Linked DNA regions of Alligator mississippiensis. Each later gene encodes a partner of the first gene's protein in a complex. Links are inferred from orthologs where the notes say so. Each region holds a gene or a part of one and is shown on either strand. Other genes may lie near its edges.

Region 1 (7,679 bases):
GGCAGTCCATGGGAGTGGGTGCTGAACCCAGGAGTCTGGGCTTCCAGCCTCCCACTCCTCTGCGGGCCTTGAAATCACCCTCAAGCCCCCACAAAGAGTCCCCCCAGCCAGGACCACGAGCCCCCCAGATTCCCCCAAGCCGCCTCGGGACCCAAAGCAGCAAGAGCCACCTCCCTGGGGCAGCCCAATTAGCAGGGCTGAGTGGAGCCAATTAGCTAATTAATTAAAGCGGGCGGTGCCCGGTTCTGGGGCAGGGCCCCCCCCTGCCTGGCGCCAGGCAGCTCTGGGGCTCCCGAGCAGCTGGTTAGGATGACGAGGGGAACGATCCTCCGTGGTGCTGGACCCAGGGCTCCCAGCTCAGTTGTGGGAGGCAAGGGGAAGCCCCCCCAGCATTGGCAAGGCCTAGAGTCCAAGGCCAATGCCAGGGTGAGGGGCACCCAGCCGGGACCCAGGGGATTGGACTCAGCGCCACAGCCTTCCCGACAAGCCCCCAGCCTCCAGGCTGGGGTCCAGCATGGAGTGGGGGGGCAGGCCCCGATCCTGGGCGGGGTCTGGTGATGCCCGGGTGCGGCCGTGGCTCGTGGGGCCGGGCAGGGCGGGACGATCCCTGCCTGCGTCATGGGGCCTGGGAAGCGCCTGGGGCCTATGAGATCCCCAGCCTCACCCCAATGGGACGCAGTGCCAGGCGGGGGGCAGGGGGGCCAGAGAAGCCAGGCAGTGGGCACCACGGGGGGAGGGTTAGGGTTAGGGTTAGGTGTCCTGGCAGTGTCCTGGGCCAGGCGGAGGGATGGAGAGAGCAGGCCTGACCCCAGGCATCACTGAACCCGTCAGCTCCCAGGACAGATGCTCTGCTGGTCCCAGTTCCAGCAGCATCTCCGGGCGCGGGGCAGGGTCCCCTTGCAGCCCCCCCAGCACCGAACCCCCCGCCCAGGCCCGGTCCCCCAGTAACATCCCAGCAGCTCCCCCCCTCCCCAGGCAGCAGGGCGGGCACGGACCGGCAGACTCAGCTCCTGGCGGGGAAGTGCAGGGGTCTGTGCGCACATCTACATGTGTGTGTGCGTGTACATACAGATGTGTGTGTGTGTGTGTGTGTGTGTGTGTGTGTGTGTGTGTATGTGTAGGGATCTGTGTACACATCTACATGTGTGCGCACGCGCATGCAGTGTGTGCACATAGAGATGTGCATGCCTGACTGCAGGAATGTGTGCCCACACATGTGTGCGCTTGCAGGGGTCTGTATATACATACACATAGGTGTATCTGCACATACAGATGTGTGTGTGCAGGGGTCTGTGTACGTGTCTACATGCATGTGCATGCGTGCGTGCGTGCAGTGTGTACACAGAGCTGTGAGGGCCTGCATGCAGAGATGTGTGCCCACACACATGCACATGTGTGCAGGGGTCTGCACGCACATACATATGCATGTGCACACACATCCACATGCATGTGTCTGCAAGCAGGGCCGTGTGCACACAAATACCTGTGTGTGCATGTGCAGGGGTGGGCATGTAAGGATGTGTGCACACATACACATGCATGTGTGCGCGTGTGTGCAGGGGGTGCATGCCCATACACCCGTGCACATCTGCAGAGATGTGTGTACACACAGACACATGTGTGCCTGTGTGCAGGGGCCATGTGCCCACACACACAGGCATGTGAGCTTGTACATGAGCGTGTGTGCACATCGCATGTATGTGAGCAGTCCCGTGTGTGCGCACGTGTGTGTGCAGGGGTGTGGGGGGTCCTTCCAAGCCGCAGCAAACACACGGGGCCCTCCCAGGTGGCTGCACACAGGGTCAGTGCCCCCCCTGCCATGGGGCTCCCAGTGTCGTGGCTCCAGGGAGCTGATGACTTTTCCAGGCCGAGGGGGGAGGGTTCCTGGGCTCTTCCCAGAGAGGGGGGTCTCCCCTTTCGCCCCCCCTGGGGCAGGAGAGCCGGGCAGGGGGAGCCTCCAGCTCCCCAAGAGGGCTCGTGGCCCCCGCGAAGCAAGTGTCACTCTCCAAACCCTCGGCATCACCCCCCTCTTTCCCCCCTCGGCCCACCCAGGAGCCTGGAGCCGAGACGCGGCCTCCGGGCCAGCTCCGGCGAGGACTTTCCAAACTCTGGCCCCCCCTCGCCCCTGCACGCCTGTCACCACAGTGCCCACAGACCAGGCATCCCCCAGCCGCCGTCCCGCCAGGCACCCGGGCACAGCCATGGGGACCCTCGCTCCTCTCCTGCTTCCTGGGGACAGGGTCTTGCGGCCCCCACTGAAACAGAAGACCCGGGGGGAGGGACAGGACCCCTATGCACCCCCTGAAACTTTCCCCTGCAAAGACGCAGCAGCCAAGCCAAGCTCGTACCTCCAAGCGCCGGGGCCGGTCTGAGCCCTTCCTCGACCCTGGGGGTAACTCCACTCTTCGGGGGCCACGAGGGTCTCCCCCAGCGCTGAACATCCAGGGAAAAGCCTTGCAAAGAGACGGGGGGCAGGGGGGGAGCACCCCCCCCGAGAGCCACCGGTCGCTGTGGCCTCCCGGCTCCCAAACCCAAATCTCCTCCAAACCCAAATCTTCGGACGAAGATGATGAATCAGATGAAGATTTTTTTTTTTCCTCTCCCCCCCCTGGAAATCCAGCAGGAGAAAGTCCTGGGGGGGGGACGAAGAGGGAGCCGGGAACTCCGGGCGCCTCGTCGCCACGCCGCGGCCCCGGTTATAAATATTCCTTCCCCGCGGCCGCCCCGGACCACCTCGGAGAAGGAAGTTTTGTTTTTCTTTCAAGAGAGAGAGAGAGAAAAAAAAACCCTTTCCCGATGCTTTTCCACCCGGGAGAGCGGCTCCGGGCCCTGCTCTGGCGCTTTGAAGCCGGGGCTGGGGCAGGAGGGGGGACAAAACTTCGCCCGCTCTTTCTGGGCTCTGCTCAAGCCGGTATGGGGGTGGGTTGGGGGGGGGGGGGCTTCGTCGTCCACCACCCCCCCTCCGCCCCTCTCTTTTTCCCCTTGCCCCCCTTGCCGCTTGCTCAGCTGCGAGGTCTCTGGGGGCCGGGGGGAAGCGGGCGAAGGGAGCCCCTGAAATTGGAGGCACGCACCATGCCGGCCGCAGTGCTGGGAAAACCTGGGCTGGATCTCCACGCCCACGCCCACGCCTGTGGGGCACACGCGTGTGCATGCCCGCCCAGCCCCGGGAAGCAACGCCTGGCCTGGATGGACCGGCTGCAGGGTGCTTTGGGCTGGGGCTGGGGCTGGGCAGGGAATGAACCCCTGCCCCACTCTGGAGGTGCCAGGATCGGGGCCTCCCAATGCAGGAGGGGTTTGGGGGATAGGGAGCGAGGGACACAGGTGCCCCCCCGCCATGTCCTAGGCTTGGGGGCCGCACATGCATGCAACATGCCCGCACACGCGGAGCACGGGCCATCCTGCGGGCCATGGCCCCGTGCCAGGCTGGGACCCGGCAGCTTGGGGCTTACCTGGCCAGGAGGCAACTTCACCGGCTGCCGTGACCTCACGGGGCACGGCAGTGATGTCAGGCCTTGCTGCAATGAGGTCATACGGCCATCAATACCCTCCCGACCCCCGTAACACTGAGGGTCCTGCAGCCGCCCCGCCCCGGGGGCTCACCCTCTGCACGTCTGCCCCCCAACAGTGAGAGCTGAGATACCCCTGTTGTCATGGAGACAGGTTTCGGATGGGGGGGGTGGCATTTGTGGCGTGGGGACATGGGTAGGACAGCCAGGAGGGGGGACCCAGCATCCAGGCTCCCAGCACCCCGCCCCCGGCTCTAACCACTTAACTCCACTGCAGACCCCCAAACCCGCGCTCCCAAGGGCAGGGACTGAACCCAGGTGTCCCGTCTTAGCCCCGCCCCTTCGCTAACCACTCAACCCCCCTCCCCCGCTGAGCACTGAACCCAGGTGTCCCGGCTCCCAGCCCCTCTCTCCAGTCTGACCAGTAGCCCCACCTCTGCTCTCCCCAGTCCCCCTGCCCCTGCCCCCACTCTCAACCCCTGGCTCATGACATCACAACACAGGCTGTGACATGACAGAGGGGCCAGCAGCCAATGAGGGGATTCCTCAAAGTTCTGCCCCCCCATGACGCAGTCGCAGGGGGCAAGGCGGGCACTGAGTGCGGAGACTGCGCTCCTGGGTGCCCCCCACCCCTGGGCCCTGCAAGGAGAGGGGGCAGGGCCGGGATTCCCGGGGTCTCTCCCCAGCTCCAGGTGCGCAGGGCACCCCCAGGGCATCCCCTGAGGGCTCCCACTTGCCCCCTTGGTACCCAGCTGCCCCGGTGGGGGATGCCCCAGGCCTGTGGCTGGCTCTGCCCAGGCCAACCTGTCAGCTTCTGGCATGACATCACTGCCCTGCATGACATCACAGCATGACATCACCCAGGGGGCGGTCCAGACGCAATGCCTGCTGCCCTCTGCTGGACTCAGCGGGCACCACAGCTGCCTGCCCAGTCCCTCCCCCCCTTGTCTGTCCACCCAGGATGACTGGGTTCGATCCCCGAGCCCAGAGCTTCTGGGCTTAGTCCCTGCTCCGTGCCTCAGTTTCCTCCTCTGGGCCCCCACAGCCTGGGCATCATGGGGGGGGCACCCTGGGCTGGCCATGCTAGGCCCCTGACCCCTGACCCTGCTGGTCCCCAGGCCTGAGGAGGGGGCTTCACACAGGGGATCCCCCTCGCCCCGGGAAGCTTCTTTAAGCATCATTAATTGCAGCTGCCCCAATTAATGGGGGTCACCTCTGCCTTCCCAGGACTCGTCTCGCACAGGCGCCCGGATGTGTAGGTCCCGTCGGGGCTGGGGCAATGCCAGGGCTGTGCAGACCCCCACTTCAGCTGGCACCGAGAGGCTGTAATGGGGGGACCTGGGCTGCCCTCGACCCCCCTGGCAGTGCCCTGATGATCACCCCCCCAGCTGTTCTGTCCAGCTCCCCCCACGTCCTTCAGCCGTGGCATAGCATTCACGTGGCTCCCCCCACCCCCGGGGAGTTTTCCAGTGAGCCGGCAGCCCCAGGATGGGGGGGGAGAGGGGGCTGGGCAGGGATGCCCATGGCCCCCCTGGGCGCCAGCCTGGGGGGCTGTGGAGCGTGGCAGGAGCCCAAGTCCAGCGCCACGTCGCGGGCACGGGGGGTAAAGGGTAAGCAAACAGCGGGGCTGTGGCAACATGGGCTGGGAATTGCGACTCCGGGCCCCCCCCATGCGGGACGGTTCGTTCCCACCCCCCAAACAGGCCCTTTGCCCCCCTGCCCCCAGGCCGTTTCTCCTCAGCCCTGGGGGACCTGACACTGCCACAAGAGGCCAAGGGGAAACTGAGGCAGGGAGCAGTCACCCACCTGGGGTGGCCTCCGGGGAGCCTGGGCTGACCTGGGACCACCCCCAAAAGGGGAACCACATGTCCCAGCCCCTGCCATGCACACCCCCACTCCATGCCTGGGCGGGGGACCCAGGCATCCAGGCCAGTCCTGCAACCCCCCCCTATCCCCTTCCAGTACAGAGGTGGCCACGGGACCCAGGTGTCCTGGGAACTTTGCAATGGGGTAAAGCTCAGCTGGGCGCTGCCCGGTTACTCTGTGTTTATTTTCACCCTCAAGGCTGCCCCCCCCGTGCCCCCCCATGCCCCGCTGGACAGTTGCCATGGTGACTGAATGCAGGGGAAAGGGCCCCCGGGGCCGTGCTGCTATTTCGGGGCCTGTGGCCTTTGCTTGCCGCGGCCACAGATGACATCACGCCCTGCTGGCACGAGGCGCCAGGGCGAAGGGCACGTGCTGGGGGGGCACGGGCTGGGCAGCAGCTGCACACCAGGGACCCAGTGCCCCCAGCCATGCTGGTGCCCCTCACTCCCGACCTGCAGCCCCCTGCCCCTGCAATCCAGGGCTCCCTTTGGCAACCTAGTTTTGGGGGTGGCATTAGGGGACATCTCCAGAAAAACCCTGGTCTGGGGGAGAGCAGGGAAGGTTTGGGGGGGGCACATGGACCTGGCCTGGCCTGATCTCCAAACTTCTTAACTGGATCACGCTGGGCTGGGGCTTTCGCCTGCAGCCTCATCACCTCCTGACACCCTCCTGGATGTCTTGGTTCTGCAGCCAGCCCTGCTCAGTGCCTCAGTTTCCCCTCCTGGCATGCACCTGTCCAGCCAGGGGGGGCTCCACAGGGCAGGGATCCCCATGCCCAGCCCTGCAGTGTCCCTTGGGGCTGCTGGAGCCCCCCACATAGGTGGGGCTGGGGAGGGCTGGGTCTGTGCCCCCCGCAGCCCCTGCCTCACAGGATCGGGCCCAGGCAGCAACTGCGGGCATGTGTTGTAACTGTCCTAAGCAGCTTAGCCCGGTTTTGGCCTGAGCTGGGGCCGGGTGGCCAGGACCCCCACCCTGGGGACCAAGACCCTCAACCCCCCACTCCCCTGGTCAAACTCTGCACCCAAGTGGGCTGGGGCAGGACACCGTGAGTGGGGGGGACTGGACAGACTGGATAAGGGAGGGATGAACGGATGGACGGATACTGCCCCCCCCGCCCCCCTCCTACCCCTAATCCTGAGCTCCTGCACTAAGAAAGCCCAAGCAGCTCAGGGGGAGATTAATGTCTTAGTGCCCCCCCACCCCCAGGGTTTGGGGTTAGTGTGTCATCATGTCACTGAGTCACTGTGCCACACACTGCCACCCAGCCCCCTGCCTGGCATCGCTAGGGGGCAGCAGGACAGGGGGCTTTGGGTCCGGAGCGAGGGGCACTGGTGGGGCTGGGGGCTGCAGGTCAGGAGTGAGGGGGACCAGCAGGGCTGGGGGATAGGGGCTGCGGGCCGGGTGTGAAGGGAATTTTCACTCTGCCCGAGCAGGTGCATGGTGCGGGTCCCGCTGGGCTGTTCCCAGAAGGGGTGGGAGGGGTAGGAGCGGGCAGGAGCTGCAGTGTGGTCCCTGCATGCCGGCAGGGGCTGATGAAAGCCGCCCTTTGCCCCCCACGACCGGGCTGGGGCCGTGAGAGTGGCCAGGCCTCGGCCCCAGATAACGCTTTGAGTTGGTGCTTGCACAACAGACCCCCAACGGCGCCAGGGCAGAGCAGGAGGGACCAGAGCCCCACACCAGGCACCCCAGGGACCCTGAGCAGAGGGCTAGAGGCCTTGGGCCAGGCTGGCAGGGGGCTGCAGGTTGGGAGTGAGGGGTACCAGCAGGGCTGGGGGCTGCAGGTCGAGAGTAGGGTGCACCAGGGGGACTGGGGGCTGCAGGTCAGGAATGAGGGGCACCGGTGCAGGGCATCAGCCCATCTCACTGCAGCGGACCCGATCCTGTTTACGTAAACATATGCACGCACAGACCCGAGGCCTCGTTAGACGCTTCCACATCTTTATTAGCTCCATGTAATAAAATAAATTAACCCTGCCCTGTCCCCCCCACCCCCAACACCAGGAGACCAAATGAAAGGTTGGGCCAGGCCTGTGCCCAGTGCTGCCCTGGCCCCTGTGGCACAGTAAAGCCCCCTTTTGACCAGCGATGCCACAGCAGTAACGTTCCTGGGCTGCAGGGACAGCACCAGCCAGGCCACAGCTGGGTTTCCGCAACCCCTGCCCACTCCCCTGCTGGCCCCCAACCCAGCTCTGGCCCCACTAGTCCCGGAAACTGATGCCCTCTAGTCCCGCCAATGCTGGGCCCACATACCATGACCTCTGCCCCACTTGGCAGCCAGCCCCGGCCTCCGGGGGGGGGGGGGGGGGG
Region 2 (8,176 bases), on another chromosome or scaffold:
CTGACCCGCATCCTCGGTTTGGCTTTATGTTCTCCATGGCCCAACCCATCAACTTCAGCCAGGGCTCCCACCGGATGCCCGTTTTGCCAGGAAGATGCTGCACCCAATAGGTAAAACTCATTTTGGAAAGACTGGGTGCTCCTTGCTGAAGACCTGAGGCTGACAGCACAGCTTGCTAACAGAGAACGCATCAGCAAGAGATGTTAGCAGCATTGCTCGCTACTTCCTGGCAGTGCTCGGATACTAGAATCAGACTGGAAGCAAAGCCGCTCTGTACCCCCTGCTTTATTTTCCTCCCTTTGTAAAGCTGGGTTAACGCCCACCGTCGTAAAGCGCTTTGTAATGGAGAAAAGGCACCGAGGAGGAGTGCAGAGCAGCAGTCCATCCTCTGCACTGCTTCCACGTTCTCCCTCGCCTAGCTCATGGACAGCGCTGAAACTGCAACGTCACGCCAGGCTCCGAGCTGGGAGCCATGCCAGGAAAGGACGCTGGTCCCACAACGTAACCGGAGCAAAGATTTCTTTCATTTGCAGGGGATAAAAATTCCCCACGTAACGTGCCCAGGATAGAGCAGAATCGGACCTGGATAGCTGCTAATGTGTCCCTTCATCCTTTGCCCCTCACCGTGGCATCGCACTGCCTGCACCACGCTGACTGACGACACGTCCTCTGGGGCCTTTCACCCTTGAACTAGCAATGGTTTTACCCCGGTGGGGAAAAGCTTCGCTATCCTCTTTTTACTGAGGACAGTTCAAAGCACAGAGAGGACAAGCAACTTGCTCAAACTCATCACAGTGCATAAAAGAGTGAGGAAAAAAGGAACCAATCTGTTAAATCTGGATTTGCTTTCAAAGACTGTGGTGTGTAGCACTGGGAACCCTGCTCTGATTACTGGACGGCATCGCTGCCCTGATCTCCGAGAGAAACACCAAGCGGAGGAGCAAACGCCAACGCTGCATCTCCGGCAGGACCCGCAGCAGGTTTTCTGAGACGTGCAAAACAAGGAGCGAGGCCGGGAGGTATGTGAGAAACGCGGTCTGCCTTGAGGACGGCCGGGCGAGCCATCCCACGTGCTGCTTGCCACTCCTGCAACCCTTTGCCCAAGGCGAGGCAGAAAGATGAGAGCACGGGCACGGCCCAATCTGGGACAGCAAGATGCGCTCGGGGCGTTGGCACGGGAGAGCCGAAGGGAGGAGACGGAGAGCGTGACTCACTGGGCTCAACCTGCTGCCCTTCCACCCCCTCCTGCTCTGGCCCGTCCCTGAATAGCGCCGTTTGTTGGGAGGCCTCGGCATCAGGGCTCGCCCAGGCCCCGGGGGACGGGCCCCCGGAGGCCACCGCCGCCCTGCCCACATGATGCTGACACGGCACCAAGGAGGGGATCAAAGAGAAGCCTCCTGTGCCGGGACCAGGCCCTGTCAGCGGGGATGGAGCAGTGCATTCTGGGAGCAGTCAATCCCAGCAGCTGCTCCTCCCACTCACTTGGAGATAGAGCTCCTCGTGGGAGCAGCCACCCCAGAGCACAACACAGAGCAGTGCATGCTGGGAGCAGCCACCCCAGTGAGAGCACAACACAGAGCAGTGCATGCTGGGAGCAGCCACCCCAGTGAGAGCACAACAGAGCAGTGCATGCTGGGAGCAGCCACCCCAGTGAGAGCACAACAGAGCAGTGCATGCTGGGAGCAGCCACCCCAGTGAGAGCACAGAGCAGTGCATGCTGGGAGGGGCCCCCAGGCCAGCACAACAGAGCAGTGCATGCTGGGAGCAGCCACCCCAGAGCACAACACAGAGCGGTGCATGCTGGGAGCAGCCACCCCAGTGAGAGCACAACAGAGCAGTGCATGCTGGGAGCAGCCACCCCAGAGCAAAACACAGAGCAGCGCATGCTGGGAGTGTCTCCCCCCCCCAGGACAGCACAACAGAGAAATGCATGCTGGGAGCTGCCACCCCGGAGCACAACACAGAGCAGTGCATGCTGGGAGTGTCTCCCCCCCCCCCAGGACAGCACAACAGAGAAGTGCATGCTGGGAGCTGCCACCCCACAACACAGAGCAGTGCATGCTGGGAGGGCACAAGGAGCAGTGAATGCTGGGAGGGGCCACCCCAGTGAAAGCACAACAGAGCACTGCATGCTGGGAGTGTCCCCCCCAAGACCAGACAACAGAGCAGTGCATGCTGGGAGGGGCCACCTCAAGGACAGCACAAGGAGCAGTGCATGAGGGGCCACACCAGAGAACACGGAGCAATGCATGCTGGGAGGGCTCAAGCAGCAGTGCATGCTGGGAGGGGCCCCACGGCCCAGCGCCCATTGTCCCAAGGCAGCCAACGGGCGGGGCAGCTCACCCCGAAGCCTGGACAATGACTGACAGCCCTCACGACCAATTAGCGCAGGGGCTCTCCCCGGGGGGGCGGGACTCCCCGCCTCAAACAGGGGAGAAGGGCGCTGAGGGCGACTGACAGACGGGACAGCCAATCGGAGGCCATCAAAACACACCCCACCCCGAAGCCGAGGACCCGTTTCGCCAGCATGTTCAGTTGCGCCCTCAGGCGGAGATTGGCAAGCGCGGGAGCCAATCAGGAAGCAGAACGAGCGGCCCGTGGGCGCCAAGCTCGGTTGACGCGTCTCTGTGGCCGGCGCCGGGGGGGGGGCGGGGCGGGGACCGCGATGACAAAGGGCGGCGATGCCCGCGCTCCCCCCCCGCCCCGCCCCGCAGGGGCCGGCGGGCCCCGCACTCACGTTGTCGATCACGACGGGCTGGTTCGCGATCACGTCGTAGGACTCCATGGCCAGCACCCGCCGCACACACCAGCCGGGGAGCCACAGCCCGGGCCGCGGGGCGCATGCGCGAGGGACGCGGCAGCGCGCGAAGCAGCCTGGGAGCTGTCTTCTTGAGGTAGGCGCGGGTTATGCTGGGAAATGTAGTCTTAGGGATCGCAGAGCATGCTGGGAGCCGTCTTCATGAGGCGGAGGGCGTGGAGCATGCTGGGAAATGTAGTCGGGGCGCGGGTCATGCTGGGAGCTGTCTTCGGGTAGGGAGGCGGGGCGTGCTGGGTAATGTAGTTCTTGAGGGAATTGCGGGGCATGCTGGGAGCTCTTCATAGGCAGAGTGCGCGGGGCATGCTGGGAAATGTCGTTCTCTGTGCATGTGGAGCTGTGAGCATGCCGGGAGTTGTAGTCCGGGGGGCGGTGCATCTTGGGACAGGTAGTCCCTTGAAGGAGGCTCTTGGCCACAGCAGGCCTCGGGCGGCTTCAGAAGAGGGTGGGTGACAATGCTCTGCCAGGCTGCGAACTAGGCGCCTCGTGCCCAGGAGCAGCGAGGGGCAGAAGAAAGGTGGCCCAGCCCGATGGGCACGACGTCGAGCCTCTTAAAAGGCAGAGCAGGTCATTGACAGCCGCGCAACCAAGAGTCAGCAAGGGAGCCGCAAGGACTATAAGGAGCCCCGAGGCCAATGGCATCCCTCGGCGCTGCCTGACTAGAAACGCCGCTGCCGGGGCCAGGCCTTTGGTTTTAAACTTGATGGGTCCTCAGGTGACTGAAGAGCCCGATTCCAGACACGCGTGGTCTTTGGGTTGGTCTCTTCCTTCCACCGCCGCCGCCGCCGCCGCACCGTCGTCCTGCCTCAACATCGAGTCGTTGGGCCTCGAAGTGGCGCGCGCCTTGGCACCCTGGAAAGGACCTCACGAGCCCCCCGGGGCGCTGCTCACCCCGATTGCGACTCACTGGAATGGAGAGATGATAAAATACGCTGTCTCCTTCCCTGCTCCAACCACACGCTGTTTGATGACTGCTGCCCAGCAGCGTTTAGGCTGAACGAAGCACCCTGGGCTTTTTTACAACCCAACAACACGTGCGCGGAGTATTTTAGCACCCGTTCATTCAGACATTGAGCCTCACCTTTAAATTGAATCCTGGGCAGATACTCTGAATATTGACCTCAGCTAATTTTATTGATTTTTATATCCTTCTCACTCGTTACGATCCATCGTTAGCGGGCCGAACAGCACGGGAGGTGTCATGTTAGCCCAGATAAATCACCAGAGAGACGTATGTGTGCCTTAAACCAACCCAAGTATTTGCTAAGGGATTCTGTTTCTAATATTTACCTTCTCCGGTTACCGCAGTCGACTTTTCTCAGGTGGGGAAACCGTTATTGGTATCACCGTACTAGGACAGGTGAAACATTGCGTATTGTTTGAGCCAGTACTTCATTCAAGTATAAATTGCTCGCCTCTTAGCAACTCTTATTCGTTTGTTTGCCCACCTTTCAGTCTCTGGCTGCAGGTGAACTCCCCGAAACCTATTTTGTGTACATTGACGTTTGGGCAAATATTCTTCACCTGCGCACATGGAAAACCCAGGGAGCAGGAACACCTTGCAGCTCAATTTGCTGCTTTAGCTATAATCCCACGTCCTGATCTTGGCAAGATTTATGGAGGCATTCGCAGCGTGCAAACTTTTACAGGTGCACGAGACTTTGCAGGATTAGAGACGTGGCTACAATTTCTAGCACGGTCTGGCCCTTCCCTGGAAGAAAGAAAGACAGAAAGAAAGGAGAGACGCAGTGCGGTTGTTGTCGCAATTGAGCCGTACACCCCGCTGTACAGAGCAACGACAGGAAATTCCCCAAAACTGGAAAACGTCGCATTTCTGCCGTCCTGCCTGCCAAAGTCTTACAGGCGTAGCAGTGCCCATGGACAACGGCTGGTTACGTGGACCCTTATCCTACACAAAACGCACGTGCGCGATTCGTTCTAGGAGCCGGAGTCAAAGGGGCCATTTAGGGGGCTAAATCCCGGCGGCTGTAAGAGGTCGAGGCTGTCACGCGCAGCATGAACCTCGCGCGTGTGCATGTGCACGTGCACGAGGCTGAGCCCCCCCTAGGCTCCAGGTTCATGGGTGGATAGGGCCGGGTGCAGCTGCCGGCGGCGGCCGCCAGGGGGCGCGCGAGCCTCGGGCGGCGGCAGGCGGCGGGGGCGGGGCCGGCGGGGGGAGGCCCCGCCCCATCCCCTCCAGGCGATTGGTGGAGCCGCGCGCTCGTCAGCAGGCCCCGCCCCACCCCGGCCGGAGCCGCCGCCGCCACCGGGCGCAGGTCGGGCCGGGCCGGGCCATGGAGGGCGCGCGGCCGCCGGCCGCCTTCCCCGCGCTCTTCCCGCCGGGCCTGCACGGCATCTACGGAGAGTGCCGCCGCCTCTACCCCGAGCAGCCCAACCCGCTGCAGGTCACCGCCATCCTCAAGTACTGGTGAGCGCGCGGGCCCGGGCCAGGGGGGCACGGGGCGGGGCATCCCGCGTGACGTCACGGGGGGGCGGGGCCCCGCGGGGGTGACGTCACGGCGAGGGGTCCTCATGGGGAGCTATACCCCAGTGCAGCTCTCACACTGGTGGAGCGCGCCCGGGACGTGACATCAGCTCGGCCGAGGAGATCTCGGCACGAGGGCTCGGGTGGAAAGACGGCGTGTCCGAACGGGTCTCGGGAAGACCACCGGGACCCCTAATCCGTATTTATTAGGGCGCGCCGATTCTGCGTTTCAAAGGGAGTCTCGCTTCCACCTGGCCGTGCAGGGCAGCGTGGCTTTCTGTGCGCGGTGCGGCGCGGCGCGGCGTGACCCGCCGACGTGGACGTTTGCAAAGGGGAAGATTTAGCTCCGGAGACTGGCTCTGTGCAACAGGTGCATCTCTCCCCGCTTGCACGTCTCTCGGGGCAGATCGGGAGCCTTTGGACACCTCCGCGCTGTCCGTGTGAGAGGGCGGCTGTGTTTTCTCCAGCATTTAGGTGTTTATTAAGAAGAGTGGCTAAATACACCGGAAGAGGGGTAAAGTTGCAAGGGGTAGAGCCCTATGGATGCACTCCTTCCTTTACGGTGCATTACGTGATACTATACGGTCCCTACGGGCACGTCTGCTGTCTCTGCAGAGCCCCAGAGCATCGTTAGCAGCTCCTGTTGCCCGCTCCCTCCTGCTTTGCTCTTGTCAGATCCCAAAAACAAGGCCTGGCAGCTGCCTTTAAGTGACCTCGAGCTCGTGGCGCTTAGCAAGGCCAAAGCGGGGGCTCGGGGCCCTTCGGAGGCAGCGTTGCCTCGTGGGCGGGTTTGGCACGCGAGTGGGCAAGGTGAAGCTGGTGGTGGTGCTCCCGTATGAACAGCTCGTGGCCGTGACGTGTGAAGAGATGAGGCCGAGCTGTCTTTCCATCAGCCCCCGGGCAGTCTCCGTGTTTTGCTGCATCTCGTGCTTTCAAGGCACTATAATGCAACGACCCGTTCTCTTGTGTTTCCAATGATATGCTAATAAATGAATCGTATTACTTCCGCTAATCGTTTTATGGCCCCTGGCTGGGCAGGTGTCTTTCTCCCTGGTATCAGACTTCCTAGGGTTTCCGTCAGTCATCAGAGAATTGCCTTTTGCAAATGCAAATCCAACTTTTTCCTCTGGCCGGTCTCATCAGCCCTTTGACGAGGGGCTGTTACATGCTGGTGCAGTTCTGGCTTTTCCAAAGGAAATCCCAAACGTTTCCATTCTTCTGAACCCGTTGTTCAAAGCGAGCGGGGGTGCTATATCTACATAAGTTGCAGCGCAGAGATGCGCGCAGCTACAAGATATGTAATTCAGTTCACTTACTTGCAGCTAGCGTGCGGACAATTGAAAACAGCAATTTAAAGGTTTGTGGGACAAGCGGATGACTCGGTGGACTGCGTAGAACAGAGAATTAACCAAGATGACTTAAGACAACTCCCTGCCTTGAAAAGGTTACGGTCAAAGGGCTGGCCTCCACTTCAGAGTTGTGGGTTGAGTTGATTTGCATTCAAATGCCTTGCGTCAAGCAAAATGTAGTAATGCTGATCTGGCCTCTCACTGCACATTATCAAACCCACTTTGGAAGCAGCCCATTCAGATGAAGGATGGGTTTTTTTTAACCTATTGCAAAGTACTTTTTGGTGCATCTGCATTTAACACTATTTTTGTGCATCTATGAGGATCCCATGCTGCTTTGGCTACCTGGGACACGTCTGCGTGCCCTCTGGGTTCATCTTGATCAGCTGTTCCCCTCCGCTGAAATGGCTCTGTGCACCCAGGTGCTGTTTTTTAGCACTTGCAGTTCATGGGAAGTTCACGTACTCTTCATTCCTTGTATTGAGATCCTGACCTGTTGTTGATCTCTCGGGAGAAGAGCCTTATTTTGCTCATGTGTTGAGCAAATGCTGAGCCAAGGGGCACAACAGAGTTTTCAGTGTCTCCGTAAGGAAGGATCTCTGGCTGGTCTGTAGGCATGCAATGAGCTGTGTGGCTGCACGGCCCGCTCTTACTACAAGGAGCTTGTCATTATCTTCCACCACCGAACTAGAGCTTGTTGTGAACCCCCGATGGATTCTCCACTGACGGTAGCGACTCTTCTGCCTAATGGGTGTTGGGTCTCGTGGTCACAGAAGTCCTGAGCAGCCTCCGATATAAAGCAGAGATGGAGGACAAACCAGGACCACAGATGGAGGTTGGTCCCTGTAAGTATTGAATTTTGTGTCATTGCTGTCATACTGTCTAACTCTTCTCCACCTTGGGGTCTTCTAACACGCGTCCCCAGTGCTCGTGCAAAGGATTTGGCTGGCGACTTTGCAAAATTCATAAAGATATTAAAACACAAACACCGCATAATTTAGGTTCCCACCCACATCCCCCATCATGTCTTTGTTTAACTTTCCTCCTCTGCTTCATTAGCTAAGCCCACCCCTCCACTCCAAAATGATAGCAGTCAGGAAAAATTACACTTTTTGAAGTGGTCTCCTTCGTTGTAGATGACTTTTTTTGTTTTCTTTCTTTTAGTGTAGCATCAGCAGCTTGAGGAAGAAGAGCAGAAGGACTCACGTGATGGAGAGACAGATTGCTTTGCTGAAGTGTGGTGTCTTCAAAGTGCGCCCAGTGCTGTTACTACTCAATAAAACGCTTTTAAAGCGAGCAGTTCCTGTTGATGTATTATTGTATACATTATAAAAAAATGAATTGGGGGCTTGGCCCCTCCTTTCAGTTGTGAAGTTGTACTATCTTTATATCCAATAGGGCTCAATACCTTAATAGAAAGAAGCATATCAATTGGGAAATCATAAACTGAATGTAAAGAGCATTAAAGTAGGCACAACATATGCTAATTTGCATGTGTCTGTATGGTGAAATGCTTGCGTTAATACT

What was found.
Region 2: the proteins of GLI1 (region 1) and SUFU are in contact, whole or in part, in a crystal structure (PDB 4KMD), measured with the Homo sapiens proteins. The link is inferred for Alligator mississippiensis from reciprocal best matches to the Homo sapiens genes GLI1 and SUFU. Residues at the interface, in NP_005260.1 of Homo sapiens: Gly119, Ser120, Tyr121, Gly122, His123, Leu124, Ser125, Ile126, Gly127; in NP_057253.2 of Homo sapiens: Leu144, Tyr147, Asn153, Thr154, Phe155, Gly158, Asp159, His160, Val161, Ser162, Trp163, His164, Gln212, Asn265, Leu266, Ser267, Gly268, Val269, Ser270, Ala271, Glu376, Leu380, Lys398.

What each region holds. Positions count from the first base shown.
Region 1 is NC_081838.1:7,325,296-7,332,974, reverse strand, and holds the start of GLI1 (zinc finger protein GLI1), read right to left. Parts: upstream 3,066-7,679; 5' UTR 2,349-3,065; intron 1-2,348. UniProt on the Homo sapiens protein: Acts as a transcriptional activator. Binds to the DNA consensus sequence 5'-GACCACCCA-3'. Regulates the transcription of specific genes during normal development.
Region 2 is NC_081829.1:99,404,367-99,412,542, reverse strand, and holds the start of SUFU (suppressor of fused homolog), read left to right. Parts: upstream 1-5,057; 5' UTR 5,058-5,109; coding exon 5,110-5,243; intron 5,244-8,176. Other genes in the region: ACTR1A (alpha-centractin), read right to left, coding at 2,738-2,785. UniProt on the Homo sapiens protein: Negative regulator in the hedgehog/smoothened signaling pathway. Down-regulates GLI1-mediated transactivation of target genes. Down-regulates GLI2-mediated transactivation of target genes. Part of a corepressor complex that acts on DNA-bound GLI1.